Arabidopsis thaliana: one gene and its partners. The protein of the gene in region 1 interacts with the protein of each later gene in a pairwise test. Each region holds a gene or a part of one and is shown in the gene's direction. Other genes may lie near its edges.

What was found. The genes of interacting proteins can lie anywhere in the genome.
Region 2: the proteins of AT4G21570 (region 1) and AT5G42420 interact in a protein complementation assay, tested with the Arabidopsis thaliana proteins (one large-scale study listed by BioGRID).
Region 3: the proteins of AT4G21570 (region 1) and RABH1c interact in a protein complementation assay, tested with the Arabidopsis thaliana proteins (one large-scale study listed by BioGRID).

What each region holds. Positions count from the first base shown.
Region 1 is NC_003075.7:11,470,312-11,474,900, reverse strand, and holds AT4G21570 (organic solute transporter ostalpha protein (DUF300)), read left to right. Parts: upstream 1-1,879; 5' UTR 1,880-2,165; intron 2,166-2,625; 5' UTR 2,626-2,631; coding exon 2,632-2,898; intron 2,899-2,981; coding exon 2,982-3,104; intron 3,105-3,190; coding exon 3,191-3,775; 3' UTR 3,776-4,066; downstream 4,067-4,589.
Region 2 is NC_003076.8:16,967,033-16,971,044, forward strand, and holds AT5G42420 (Nucleotide-sugar transporter family protein), read left to right. Parts: upstream 1-1,622; 5' UTR 1,623-1,786; coding exon 1,787-1,925; intron 1,926-2,011; coding exon 2,012-2,196; intron 2,197-2,307; coding exon 2,308-2,508; intron 2,509-2,595; coding exon 2,596-2,757; intron 2,758-2,827; coding exon 2,828-3,193; 3' UTR 3,194-3,495; downstream 3,496-4,012. UniProt on the Arabidopsis thaliana protein: Nucleotide-sugar transporter that transports UDP-rhamnose or UDP-galactose and UMP in a strict counter-exchange mode.
Region 3 is NC_003075.7:18,504,048-18,508,220, forward strand, and holds RABH1c (RAB GTPase homolog H1C), read left to right. Parts: upstream 1-1,871; 5' UTR 1,872-2,064; coding exon 2,065-2,181; intron 2,182-2,530; coding exon 2,531-2,601; intron 2,602-2,686; coding exon 2,687-2,775; intron 2,776-2,855; coding exon 2,856-2,970; intron 2,971-3,063; coding exon 3,064-3,154; intron 3,155-3,250; coding exon 3,251-3,412; 3' UTR 3,413-3,656; downstream 3,657-4,173. Other genes in the region: AT4G39870 (TLD-domain containing nucleolar protein), read left to right, coding at 1-25, 142-228; AT4G39880 (Ribosomal protein L23/L15e family protein), read left to right, coding at 554-1,090. UniProt on the Arabidopsis thaliana protein: Protein transport. Regulator of membrane traffic from the Golgi apparatus towards the endoplasmic reticulum (ER).

The sequences.
Region 1 (4,589 bases):
GAGAGATTACTCTCAAATTTGTGGTAGACGTGTAAGTTTTATTTACAACATTTTATTATTATTTGTTGTTTTATGTTAACTTAATACTTTCTCTTTTCGTTTTCTATTTTCTAGTCATATGGAAAGGATGATATTTACAAATGCCAAAGTGGCAGCAGCGGTAGCAAATTATTTGCCCGATGTGCTTTTTATTTCACTTCGGAGGACTATCTCTCCATTTCGTCACATTAAGTACGTTTTGTTTCGTAAATTACTTATCAATTAAATTTATATATTAATTTGTTTACAATATTCTTGGAATGCCTTTACTCAGAGATATCATACGATATTTGATTTTGGGCACCGCCAAATCGGATTTTCTCTCGCCACTTCCAATTACGACGACCTGGACCACGAAGACGACGTAGACAACGAGGACGACGAGGACAGTGTGGACGACGTGGAAAGACTCGTTCACTCATCAACATTAAGCTTTGTTTTTTTCGGTAAGAACTAATTAAGCTTTTATTTTTTTCTTTGATAATGAGAACTAATTAAGCTTTTAAGACCTTTCATGAGTGTGTAATATTTTATGAAATATCTTTATAAGATTTAACTGCTATTTTTTGTGTTTGCGTTTTTATGCATTTGACGTTAATCACATAAATTGTTTGTACGGTTTCGTAACATTTCAAAATGCTTAACATTAGAATCTTGTTTCATCGATCTTTTATTATAGTAACAAGCGATTGTTTTTTTTGTTTTGAGTACATTTGAAAGTAACGGAAACTTAGTAAAACGAATTCACGAAGAGAAAATGAAAAGTGATTAAGTCATCTCCTCAACAAGCGATTGTTATAAAGTAATAAAATTATTTAGATGAATTGGTTGTTTTAAAATAAAAGGTTGAAAATGTTGAATAACTATTTATTTTATTTTTACGATTTGAAATGAATAGGTTGGAAAATTGATTCAACTCATTCAACAAAAAAAAAAGAAAAATGAACAAATTATAAAAGAAACTTGTTCAACCATTTCATCTACTCTTTTGTAGATGAATGAGTTGAATAATGTTCAACTTGGTTTTGCTGAAAATGGTTGCATAGAGATGAAATAATTGGAAATTTTGAGTTGAAAAATAAAAGTTGAATATTATTCAACTCATTTCTCTGTGAAATAGAAGATATACAAGTTGAAAAAATTTCTTTATAATTAGTTTATTTTTCCAACTTTTTAAGTTGAAAGGGTTGAATCATTTTTCCAACTTATTCATCTTAAATGGTAAAAAAAATAGATAAATGCTCATTCAACTCTTTCAACTTCTTAATTTTAGGCAACCATTTGCACCTATTTTTCCAATCATTCAACTATATGTCATTCATTTGGAGCAATTATATTTCTTAAATCTATATATTTATTTTTATTTCTGCTATAATTCAAACTGTCAAACCATTACCAATAAGATGTGGAGCTAATTCAACATAAGTATATAAAGTATATGAAATGTATAGATCTTTCCACTTATTTTCAAATGATTAAAATTGTACATGGTGTTAGAGCCCGAACAAACCCAAGATAAATGAGCATAAAGATGATCTCACTTCTAAAACCATTTTTGAACCACCATTTCTACTGCATTGCCATTTTTCTTACCGCCTTTTTTTTTTATTTTGATTTTCATAACCGCTAAAAAACTTTTCACCACATCATTATATTATTTGGTCCAACCAAACCAATGGTCCAAGATGGTGCCTTTTTTTTTTGGGCTCAAAGATACAAATCCTCTCTTTTGATTTCTTCTCTCAGCCCATGACGTGTAATGAATGAAGAAAAAATCAATAACTTACATCACAATCATATATCAATTTCATGAATCCTTGAAACCAAATACATACCATACCGACCTCTGTTTAAAAGACTTATCTTTTCTCCAACAAATGCGACAAAACCGTGTGGACGAATCAGAGAGACACATGTATACCAATGCCGACTTCTTTTTATGCAATCGTAGCGTCTCTCTCACGTGGTAAACGCGTCGCCATTTTTATAATACGACCACGTTTGTGACTCCATTAATGGCGGTCTCATGCTCCCTCAATTCTTCATGATCTAACTACTAAGAGATCTGATTCACTTTCTTCACACTCTCCGAGTCTCATCTTCGCTTCTTCCCTAGCTCTTATCTGGTTAGTTCCTCTCTTTCTCTCTCTCTGGTTAGCTAATTTTGCTTTGTTCAGATTTACAGAGATTTTGCTTATCTAGCTTTGAATCAGTCTTGGGAACATAGACAAAATCAGAATTCGACCTTTCAAATTAATGGGTCTGATTGGGTTTATCGAGTTCATCACCCGTTTTCCCAGTCATCTATAAAGTTTGAGTTTTTAATTCGGTTATATACTCTGTTTTGATACGGAGATATCTAATTGCTCCAACCATTTAGCTTTCTAGATCTCATGAGATGTTTGCTTTTCATTGTACAGTTTAAATTAATGTTAAGCTAAAGAGTGAATTTTGATGTGGAGCTATTTGGCTGAATATAATGCTGAAACATTTGTGAAGATTTAGATGTTTGATTGATTAGAATTCTTGTGCAAAGTCTGATGGCTTCTTGATGCTAAAGAGTTATGTGTATTAATTTTGATGCAGGACACAATGATGGACCTAACGAAACTGAAGCCTCCACAGATCACTTTTTATTGCTCGGCGTTTTCCGTCTTGCTCACACTTCATTTCACGATACAGCTTGTATCGCAGCATCTCTTCCACTGGAAGAACCCTAAGGAACAAAAGGCTATACTCATCATTGTGCTTATGGCTCCTATCTACGCCGTTGTTTCCTTTATTGGTTTGTTAGAAGTCAAAGGAAGTGAAACCTTCTTCCTCTTTCTTGAATCCATCAAAGAATGCTACGAAGCTCTTGTGAGTATATTGTTTTATCGCTTGTGTTAGTATACAACATATTGTAGAGACGACACTTACCAATTTTTTTCGATATTTTGCAGGTCATTGCCAAATTCTTGGCATTGATGTATAGTTATCTAAACATATCTATGAGCAAAAACATTTTGCCTGATGGAATCAAAGGAAGAGAGATTCACCATTCTTTCCCAATGACTCTTTTTCAGGTTCGTCTCTATCTTCATTGCATGATTTCATCTAATATCTATTTGCTTCTTTACCCTTAAAAGCTTTGTGTCTATTGTTTTGACAGCCTCATGTAGTCCGTTTGGATCGTCACACTCTTAAACTTTTGAAATACTGGACATGGCAATTTGTGGTCATTCGACCCGTGTGCTCCACTTTGATGATAGCTTTACAGCTCATCGGGTTTTATCCTTCATGGTTGAGCTGGACATTCACTATCATTGTCAATTTCTCGGTTTCTCTGGCCTTGTATTCTCTTGTGATATTCTACCATGTGTTTGCTAAGGAGCTTGCTCCTCATAATCCACTCGCAAAGTTCCTCTGCATCAAAGGAATTGTCTTCTTTGTCTTTTGGCAGGTAATGTTTGCATTAATCAGTAAACCCCTCAAAACAAGATTTCTCATGTTTGGATATACTCATAAGATTCTTTTGATTCTGAAACTGCAGGGAATAGCACTAGACATACTGGTGGCAATGGGATTCATAAAATCTCACCATTTCTGGTTGGAGGTAGAACAAATCCAAGAAGCAATTCAGAATGTGTTGGTATGTCTTGAGATGGTTATCTTCGCTGCGGTTCAGAAACACGCTTATCATGCTGGTCCTTATAGCGGCGAGACCAAGAAGAAACTCGATAAAAAGACCGAATGATTTGGGCGTTAGAGTGGACATGGACTGGTTTTAAACCAGCCATTTTTATAGCCAATCTTTGGTGATCTTGTATGTTGTTATGTTGAGGAGAAAGATCTAAAGGTTTTGCTTTACAACTTTTGGTTTCCATGATTGGGGAAAAAAGAAACAATAAAGTTGAAAATTTAGATGATATGAACAATAATGTTAAAGCCACTACACTTTTCATCAAAAGAAGTAAAGAACACTACTCATATTAATATCTTTCCCGTATGCATGAAATGAAACTTTTTCACCATTGTTACTCTAGTCTTTGTTCAATTGTTGTAAAATCAGTTCAAATACTCAAATTCTTCTTACTTCTGTGACAAAATAAAACACTCGTTCTCATTGAGTAGTAAAATTCGAAAGTAATGTTGTTGAAATCTTAAAAAAAATCATCAAATTATTTTTCATGATTCTATCGTTCTGAATTTGTAACCAATCAAAAGCTCATTTATGTATGAAAATATTAAAATAATTTATTTGTGAAGATAAAAATTGGAGTAATGTATTAATTGAAGGAGGGTAAAAAAGTCGCACGTAATATACGGGAAAAGGCGTGCGAAAGGACTAAACACAAAAAGTCTCTGGATTGAATTGGTTTGGCTCTCTGCTCGAACGATTCTCTCTGATAACCCGATTGTCAACTCCACAGCCCACAGGTCAGATTATTTCCGATTTAGGGTTAATCGAGTTCTCGTTTTTCGAAATCGATCAAATTTATATTTAATTTAATTTGCGCGAGAATCGATGGTGATTGATTTGTTGTTGATCCAGACAGAGACAGAGTTCG
Region 2 (4,012 bases), on another chromosome or scaffold:
ACACAAGGCCTCTTAGAGTACTCACAACAAAAGTCGAAGATAATGTTTTCTTATGTTCACCAAAAAACTTACAAAACTAACTCTCGAGAAAATCTAAATTTTCTTTTGAAGTGTGGTTTATATATGTATATATATTTTTATATTTTTTTGGAAAAGATTAATAATATTTAATCAGTATAGAAGTTCTGCTTAGACTCATTAATATTTAATATGTTAACTCATTATAAGTTTACAACTCAACTCATTGAATTGATGAAACCATTTGATCTAATAACTCATTTGGTTGTAAGCTTCTATAGTTATTCTTATATAAGTCTGAAAAAATATTATAGTTGTATTTTTGGATATCTAAGGAATTAAGAAAATTGATAATGTCTCACCTCTACGATAATTCCTTTTCATCTTTCCGTTTTGTTTTTGTATTATCGATTTATGTTCTTTAATTATTATTATTTTAAAAAAACTTCTCCAGTCATCTTTTTATTTATCAGTTACATTATCGTAAATATTCATGCTTCTTACATGAAAAAACGAAATATTTTAATGTGATCTCCACTAGTTCATGAAGAAAATGCAAAGTTATGACTTACTTTTATGGATTGGCTGCTTAAACAAAAAGTTACCAACAGACTTTGACTTTGACTTTGCGTAATGCAAAAATAACGGCAGCATGAAAAGAGGTTCCCTTCGCCTCATAATCTGCCTAAGTTACTGGTCAACAAGCACTACTATATATTTGTGTCATTTTCTTTTATTTGTGTTGTTTTTTATATATAGTAAATTATAAACATATTAATTATTCCTACTTTCCTTAGAAATGATGCATGGTGAAAAATTTAAAAATATTCATATACAAAAAAGAGAGGGAAAATAATATTATCAGTTCGATAAATATGTATTGGTTTTTATGAAAATAATAGTTTTATTCAAAATATTAGCTAAAAAGTACTCTCACACAGTTGGTTTGTTTCATAGTTATAGAATTTATTATGTGACACAAAAAGTTCAAAGAATATTAAAAATATTTGGAAATTATGCAAATAAACAAATATTTGTAATTATATTATTTACATAACACAATCTTATGATATTTATTTTAGAATATGTTTACATTATTTTATCCATATATATGTGTCAAATACGATATCATTTTTGGACATTTACATTTGTTGTAAATTAAATTGTATAGAGTTAATAAAAAAAATCAACAGATAATTTTGATTAAGGTTTGTGAATAATTTAGTCAATTCAATGCAAAATTCAAGATTTATTTGTCTAATCCACTAATTGAGAGTTTCTTTAGTCATAAATAAATAAATTGAAAATCTTCAAATCACGAAATATTTTTTAAAGATTTAATTTACAGAAAATCTCAAATCTCATTACAAAAAATCGTTAAAATCAAAATTTGCAACAACTAAAAAAATTCGATTATCAATTTTGTCATAATACTCATCTACAACTTTTGTCACTACATAATCAATTATTTTCTTGTCCAAAAAAAAAACATAATCAATGATTTTCTTAATGTAATTGTAATGATGAATTTTGATGCGGGTAAAGTAAAAACTAAATCTACTTACACAACTTCCTTTTTAAAAGTATTTATTTCAGATTTGAGATTTGTCAGATATTTTTCTCAACGTGAAAGAGAGAAAAGAGAATCTCTCAGAAGGTGAGCCTCCAACAAAGCGTGAATCTCTCTTTCTCTCTCTATCTCTCTATCTCCGAGATCGCATCACCGGAAATCTCCTTCTACGGTGGTGGTGGTGACAGTTGACCAGAGATGGCGGCGGAGAATGAGAGAAAATCTCCTTCAGCAGTCTCCGATATGGGAGCTTGGGCAATGAATGTGATAAGCTCCGTTGGAATCATCATGGCGAATAAACAACTTATGTCCTCTTCTGGATTCGCATTTAGTTTCGGTTCGTCTTCTTCCTCCGATCTCTCACTCTTTTTAATCAATTTCGCTTTTGAGATCTGATGATTTTTCCGATCTCTGTTTTCTCAGCTACAACTCTCACCGGTTTCCACTTCGCTTTAACCGCATTGGTCGGTATGGTATCAAACGCTACCGGATTCTCTGCTTCGAAGCATGTACCTATGTGGGAGCTTATTTGGTTCTCCATTGTCGCTAATGTCTCTATTGCTGCTATGAACTTCAGTCTCATGCTCAATTCCGTTGGCTTCTACCAAGTAATTCATCTCGATCTCGATCTTGAGCATATAGAATCAAATTGCTTTGATTTGAGCATATATAGACTTTGATTTTGGTTTAGTGGATTCACATTTTTTTGTGTTGATTAGATCTCGAAGCTGAGCATGATTCCTGTGGTATGTGTAATGGAATGGATTCTACATAGCAAGAGATACTCAAGAGAAGTGAAAATATCTGTTGTGGTTGTTGTTGTTGGTGTTGGTATTTGTACTGTGACTGATGTTAAAGTTAATGCCAAAGGTTTTATCTGTGCTTGTGTTGCGATTTTCTCGTCATCCTTGCAGCAAATTGTAAGTCTTTTTGTTTGGTGATTTGGTTTTGAAGCTTGTGGAATTCAAATCTGATCAATTGGTGTTTTTTCCTTCTGTGTTGCTTAGTTAATAGGTTCTCTACAGAAGAAATATTCAATTGGGTCCTTTGAGTTGTTGAGTAAAACAGCGCCGATTCAAGCTTTTTCGCTTCTTGTTGTCGGTCCTTTAGTTGATTATCTTCTTAGTGGGAAGTTCATTATGAAGTATAATATGTCTTCCGGTTGCTTTGTAAGTATCTCTCTTCATGGCTCTGCTAGTATTGTTATGTTATCATTGGCTAATGTTCTACAATTTGCAGCTATTCATTCTTCTCTCATGTGGTCTAGCTGTGTTCTGCAACATAAGCCAGTACCTTTGCATCGGGCGGTTTTCAGCAGTATCGTTCCAAGTTATTGGTCACATGAAAACCGTCTGTATCCTCACGCTTGGATGGCTCCTATTTGATTCTGCAATGACTTTCAAAAACGTAGCGGGGATGATTGTTGCGATTGTTGGGATGGTAATCTATAGTTGGGCAATGGAATTGGAGAAACAGTCGATTATTGCAGCAAAGGCTTTAAACAGTGTGAAACATAGCTTAACAGAGGAAGAGTTTGAACTTTTGAAGGAAGGTGTAGAAACTACACAATCAAAAGATGTTGAACTTGGCCGCACAAAAGATTAGAGACAGATGGATAGAGAAAGAAACATAGTCTTCAGGTACAATTTGTTCTGTTATAATTTTTGTATGTTTTGTGTTATCTAAACCAAGAGATCGGATCCTCGGAGATTAGTGTCTAGGCTTCGATCTAAAGTTTCCTTGGTTATACAAATGTTTTGTGTTATTTATATCTTTTTACCCAATTCCATGGAAATAACTTCAATGACCACATGTTCTTGTTTTACGTAGCACTCAAAGAGTATATTCCTTTATTTATCTTATAGAATATGACATCAAATGTAGAGTATATTCCATTTGATAAAACATTCATATGGATAGTGAAAACAAGAATACTGGAGAAGACTTAAAAGAACTTCTGATAAAAACATTCATATGCTCCCAAGTAATGTGAAAATTGTAAATGAGAAGGGGAAAAATGTTATTTAATACCTGAACTTTCAAAAAGTGGCCAAATTAACCGTGAATTTTTGAAATGGCCGTTTTATACCTCAACAAAAAGTTGACTTCTAATTTAACCTATAAGTTATCGTTGACCCGGCCAAATCGACTCACCATTAACACTTCTTAACAGCTCTCCTAACAGCGTAACTAACAACTGTTTTTGTCCTTAAACCAACAATAACGGCTGTTAGGCCATGTTTTGTAACGGCTGTTAGGAGCGCTGTTAAGGAGTGTTAACGGTGAGTCTATTTGGCCGGGTCAACGACAAATTATAGGTTAAATTAGAAGTCAACGATAAATTATAGGTTAAATTAGAAGTCAACTTTTTGTTGAGGTATAAAACGACCATTTCAAGAGTTCACGGTTAATTTGGCCATTTTT
Region 3 (4,173 bases), 7.0 Mb from region 1:
GGACTTTGATGTTAAGGAAGTGGAGGTAGTTAAATTTCATCCCTCTCCTTGAAAAATAAAAGCTTTATATTTCAATATTTTGCAACACCTTTTAACTGAAACAAGCAAACAAACACACCATTGGTTGATTGATTGTTGCAGCTATGGGGATTTGTGTATGGCTCAAAGTATGATGAGATTCTAGCTCACAGCAAAACAATGGAGCCTGGTCTTTGCAGATGGTCATGATCATTATAAAGAAAACCCAAATGAATTCAACTGAGATTCGTCTTTTTGTTGTTGTTGTTGTTGTTGTTGTATAAATCTGTAGTAAAAGAAATCTTGTTGTCTTGTAACTTGGCTAAAATCACATATATGTTACTCTCTCTCACTTGTAATGATGATTTTGAAATAACAAAATAAAACCACCTATTAGGCTCATTCGGCCCATTAAGGCCCATTAAAGCATATGTGTGTGTGAAGAGGGATTAATTTTAGTGGGGAAGAATCAAAGAAGAAAAACCCTTGCTACTGCTTTTCATTTCTGACCTAAAAGCTCAGCTCCGATTTGAAAATGGGGAGTAGATTGGGAGGACGAGTGGTTCATTTCGCGAATCTTCCGATTAAGCTTCTGATGCCTGCGAAGCTGACCAACATTCACGAATTCGCGTTGAAAACGATTCCTTCCGCGTCCAAGATCGAGATCAAGCGAGTCCTGGAGTCGCTCTACGGATTCGATGTGGAGAAGGTGAATACTTTAAACATGGATGGGAAGAAGAAGAAGCGTGGTGGTTTGTTGATAGCGAAAGCTGATTACAAGAAGGCTTACGTCACGCTACGTAGTCCATTGTCGATTTCTAGGGATTTGTTTCCGGTGAAGTATATCGAGGAAGATAGGAAGAGTAAAGTGAAAGGATCTAGCTTTGTTGAGGAAGAAGATGATAAGAAGAGTCATTGGCTTGATCGTAAGGAGAAGAGGGAGATTGGTGGTTATGGTAAAGGTAAAGGTCGTCGAGGTGGTGAAAGGGCTAACTCTCCGACGAGAGGTGGTGCTGCGGCGGCGGGGACGGCCAAGTTTCCATGGAGCAACATGAGATTTGTTGGTAAGTAGGGTTTATGAGCAGATTATGATCTGGGGTTTGTGTTTCTTTAGCTATCGGATTATTGATTTTGTTGTTTCTATTACTTGAGGTTTGTGTATTGAGAATCTGAATCATTGAAGCTCTCAGTGTTTCTGAGATTTGGCTAATAAATCTGAATCAAGATGTTTCCAATTGTTTGTAATCTTTCTCTTAGTGATCTCTGATTAGCTATATGATATTTGCTGCTCCCGAGTTCTAAAGCTTTTTTTCTTAATTGCAATCTATAAGAATGCTTAAGGGGATTAACTCTGGTGATGGTGCTTTGTTTGTCTGTTCAAGTTTTGAGAAACCTCTTATTAGTCTTATTGTTTGTGGATTTGGGGCTTATGTTCAAATGTTCGATCACATTACGCAGATGCAAAACGTATGATAAAATTGTGACAAATCACTACATTAGCCAATAAATATAGTCATCTCTGATCATCCCAAAAATCTCATCACTTTGTGGACTAGTAGCTTGGTGTTTACTAAATAATTGTTAAAATAATTGTTAGTTCAGATTTTGGTATTCATTACAGATTACAACTAGGCTACTACTCACCTAGTATCTTCACAAACTAACAAAAATTTGTTTGGCTTAAAGGTCTTTTTTTGGTTTAGGTTTTAATTAATCAAATAACGATTTAAAAGATTAATGAAGAAGACTTTGATCATAGAAATTTTAGAAAACATTCATCATTAAAAAATATTATTTTTTTTAAACACAGATACACCCAACCGCATCGACGCGCTTCTTATATAAAGTCTCCGCGGAAATCGTTGAATATATTTGGGCGCGTGGCGATTTTGTGAAGGTTGTCAAGTTTGTGTGCGACCGAGTCATCGTCGTCGTGCTCTCCTTCTTCTTCATCGTCGAGACCTAAGAAAGACGAGACTCTGATTCTTCTGATCTTTGAATCACACTTTTTCTTTTTTTCCTTCTTCTTCCAACGGAACGGAACATATGGCTTCGGTTTCACCTTTGGCAAAGTTTAAACTGGTGTTCTTAGGAGACCAATCTGTCGGAAAAACCAGCATCATCACTCGTTTCATGTATGACAAATTCGACACCACGTACCAGGTATTTACACAGATTCCTTTCACTTGTTTTGTTTATTCATTTAAATTCTTCTCTGCGACAACAAGTTTCTTTTGTTTTCGTTTTTTTATTGTTTGATCTGATTCATTATTTCCTATATTACGATTGTTCAGACGATTTCATCTCATATTGGTCCTAGATTACGTCGCTGATATCACTCTGGTTTTTCTTCAATGCATTTGTTTGATCACTCTGCTCTCTGTTTTTTTGGTTGATTTATCAATCTCTTCTTCTTATTATGATCAAGATCGATGATGCTAAGCACTGTTGCTTCTTTGCTTTCTTAGTTAGTCATTAAGCCTTTATTTGTGTTCTCTCTGACTCTCTGCAGCCTACCATTGGAATCGATTTTCTATCGAAAACAATGTACCTCGAAGATCGAACAGTTCGTTTGCAGCTATGGTGAGAACAATGTTACTTTTGCTCTTTACCTAAAAACTAACATGTTAATTTCAAAAGCAATAACAAAACAAGTTTTGATTGAAAGGGATACTGCTGGACAAGAAAGATTCAGGAGTCTAATCCCAAGTTACATCAGAGATTCTTCTGTTGCCATTGTTGTATACGATGTATCCAGTAAGTCCACCTTTGTTTCTCTCTTTGATTCACCTTCTTTTTTGTGTTCTTATGTGTTCAATCAATACTTTGTGTTGCAGATAGGCAAACGTTTCTGAATACCTCGAAATGGATTGAGGATGTTCACAGAGAAAGAGGTCAAAGCAATGTTATCATCGTTCTTGTTGGAAACAAAACTGATCTTGTTGAAAAACGGTAAATACAAACATTAAGCAAAGAATTGGATGGGATGGACTATATAATTCTCTCTTGTCTTATATATGTCAATCTTGATATAATGAAAAACAGGCAAGTATCAATCAGTGAAGGAGAAGACAAGGGTAAAGAGTATGGAGTGATGTTCATTGAGACCAGTGCCAAAGAAAACTTCAACATTAAGGTATGACAAAACTTCAACAAAGAGTATGGAGTGATGTTCATTTGAGTGTTTCTTGTTGTCTGATTTCTAAACACACCAAATCTCTTCAATTTGCAGGCTTTGTTCCGGAAGATTGCTGCAGCTTTACCCGGGGTAGACTCATATTCATTGGCAACAAAATCAGATGACATGGTTGATGTGAATCTAAAGACCACTTCAAATTCATCACAAGGTGAGCAACAAGGAGGAGCAGGTGGTGGTGGAGGCTGTTCTTGTTGATTCAAAAATACATAATTCCAAAACTTGTGAAGCAAACAAAAGGGATCACGTTAGTTTTGTGGTTTTCATCTTATTAACTGACACAGAATATAAAACATCAAAGAGAAAAGGATTACTATTTTTACACATGTGAATCTTTTGCCTTGTTCTGTATTTGATCTGTTTTAGACATTGACGGTAGCAGAATACAAAACCTTATTCTGATCACCACCAAATGAACCAAAGGGAGAAGGATCAACTGTGGTGACAGCTTCCTTCCACTCAATTGTACCCCAAATCTCACCTTTCGAACGAAATCTCGGCACACCAAACATCCAATCTCTCATCATCATCATTACGCTCAAGCCAGAAGAGAACAATGTTCACACCAAAACTGTTCACTTGACTGATATTCTTAGAGCCTCCAAACCTTTAACTATCTTCCATTCTGATTCCTCAGACTCTTGCCAAAACACTCACCGGAAGCTCATATCGGTACCGTATAACAACAATTCCTCAACTACACAATAACTCAAAAGATGTGGCCTATTCGTTCTTCCCCATTTACCATCACTGGGAGAGTAATAAACACTTCCTTCAAACCATTTCACTCCGTAAACCTTGTCTTCCTTAACAAGGCTTCCATTGGCGTTTGTTTTGGCCACTACGATTATCGGCGGGAAGGTTTTGTTGTTTCTTCTCTTCTTGGAAAACGAAAAACGTTATCCTTTATTTGTTCTTCTCTTGTTTTACTTTTTTATTGAGCCTTCAAACATTCGTTA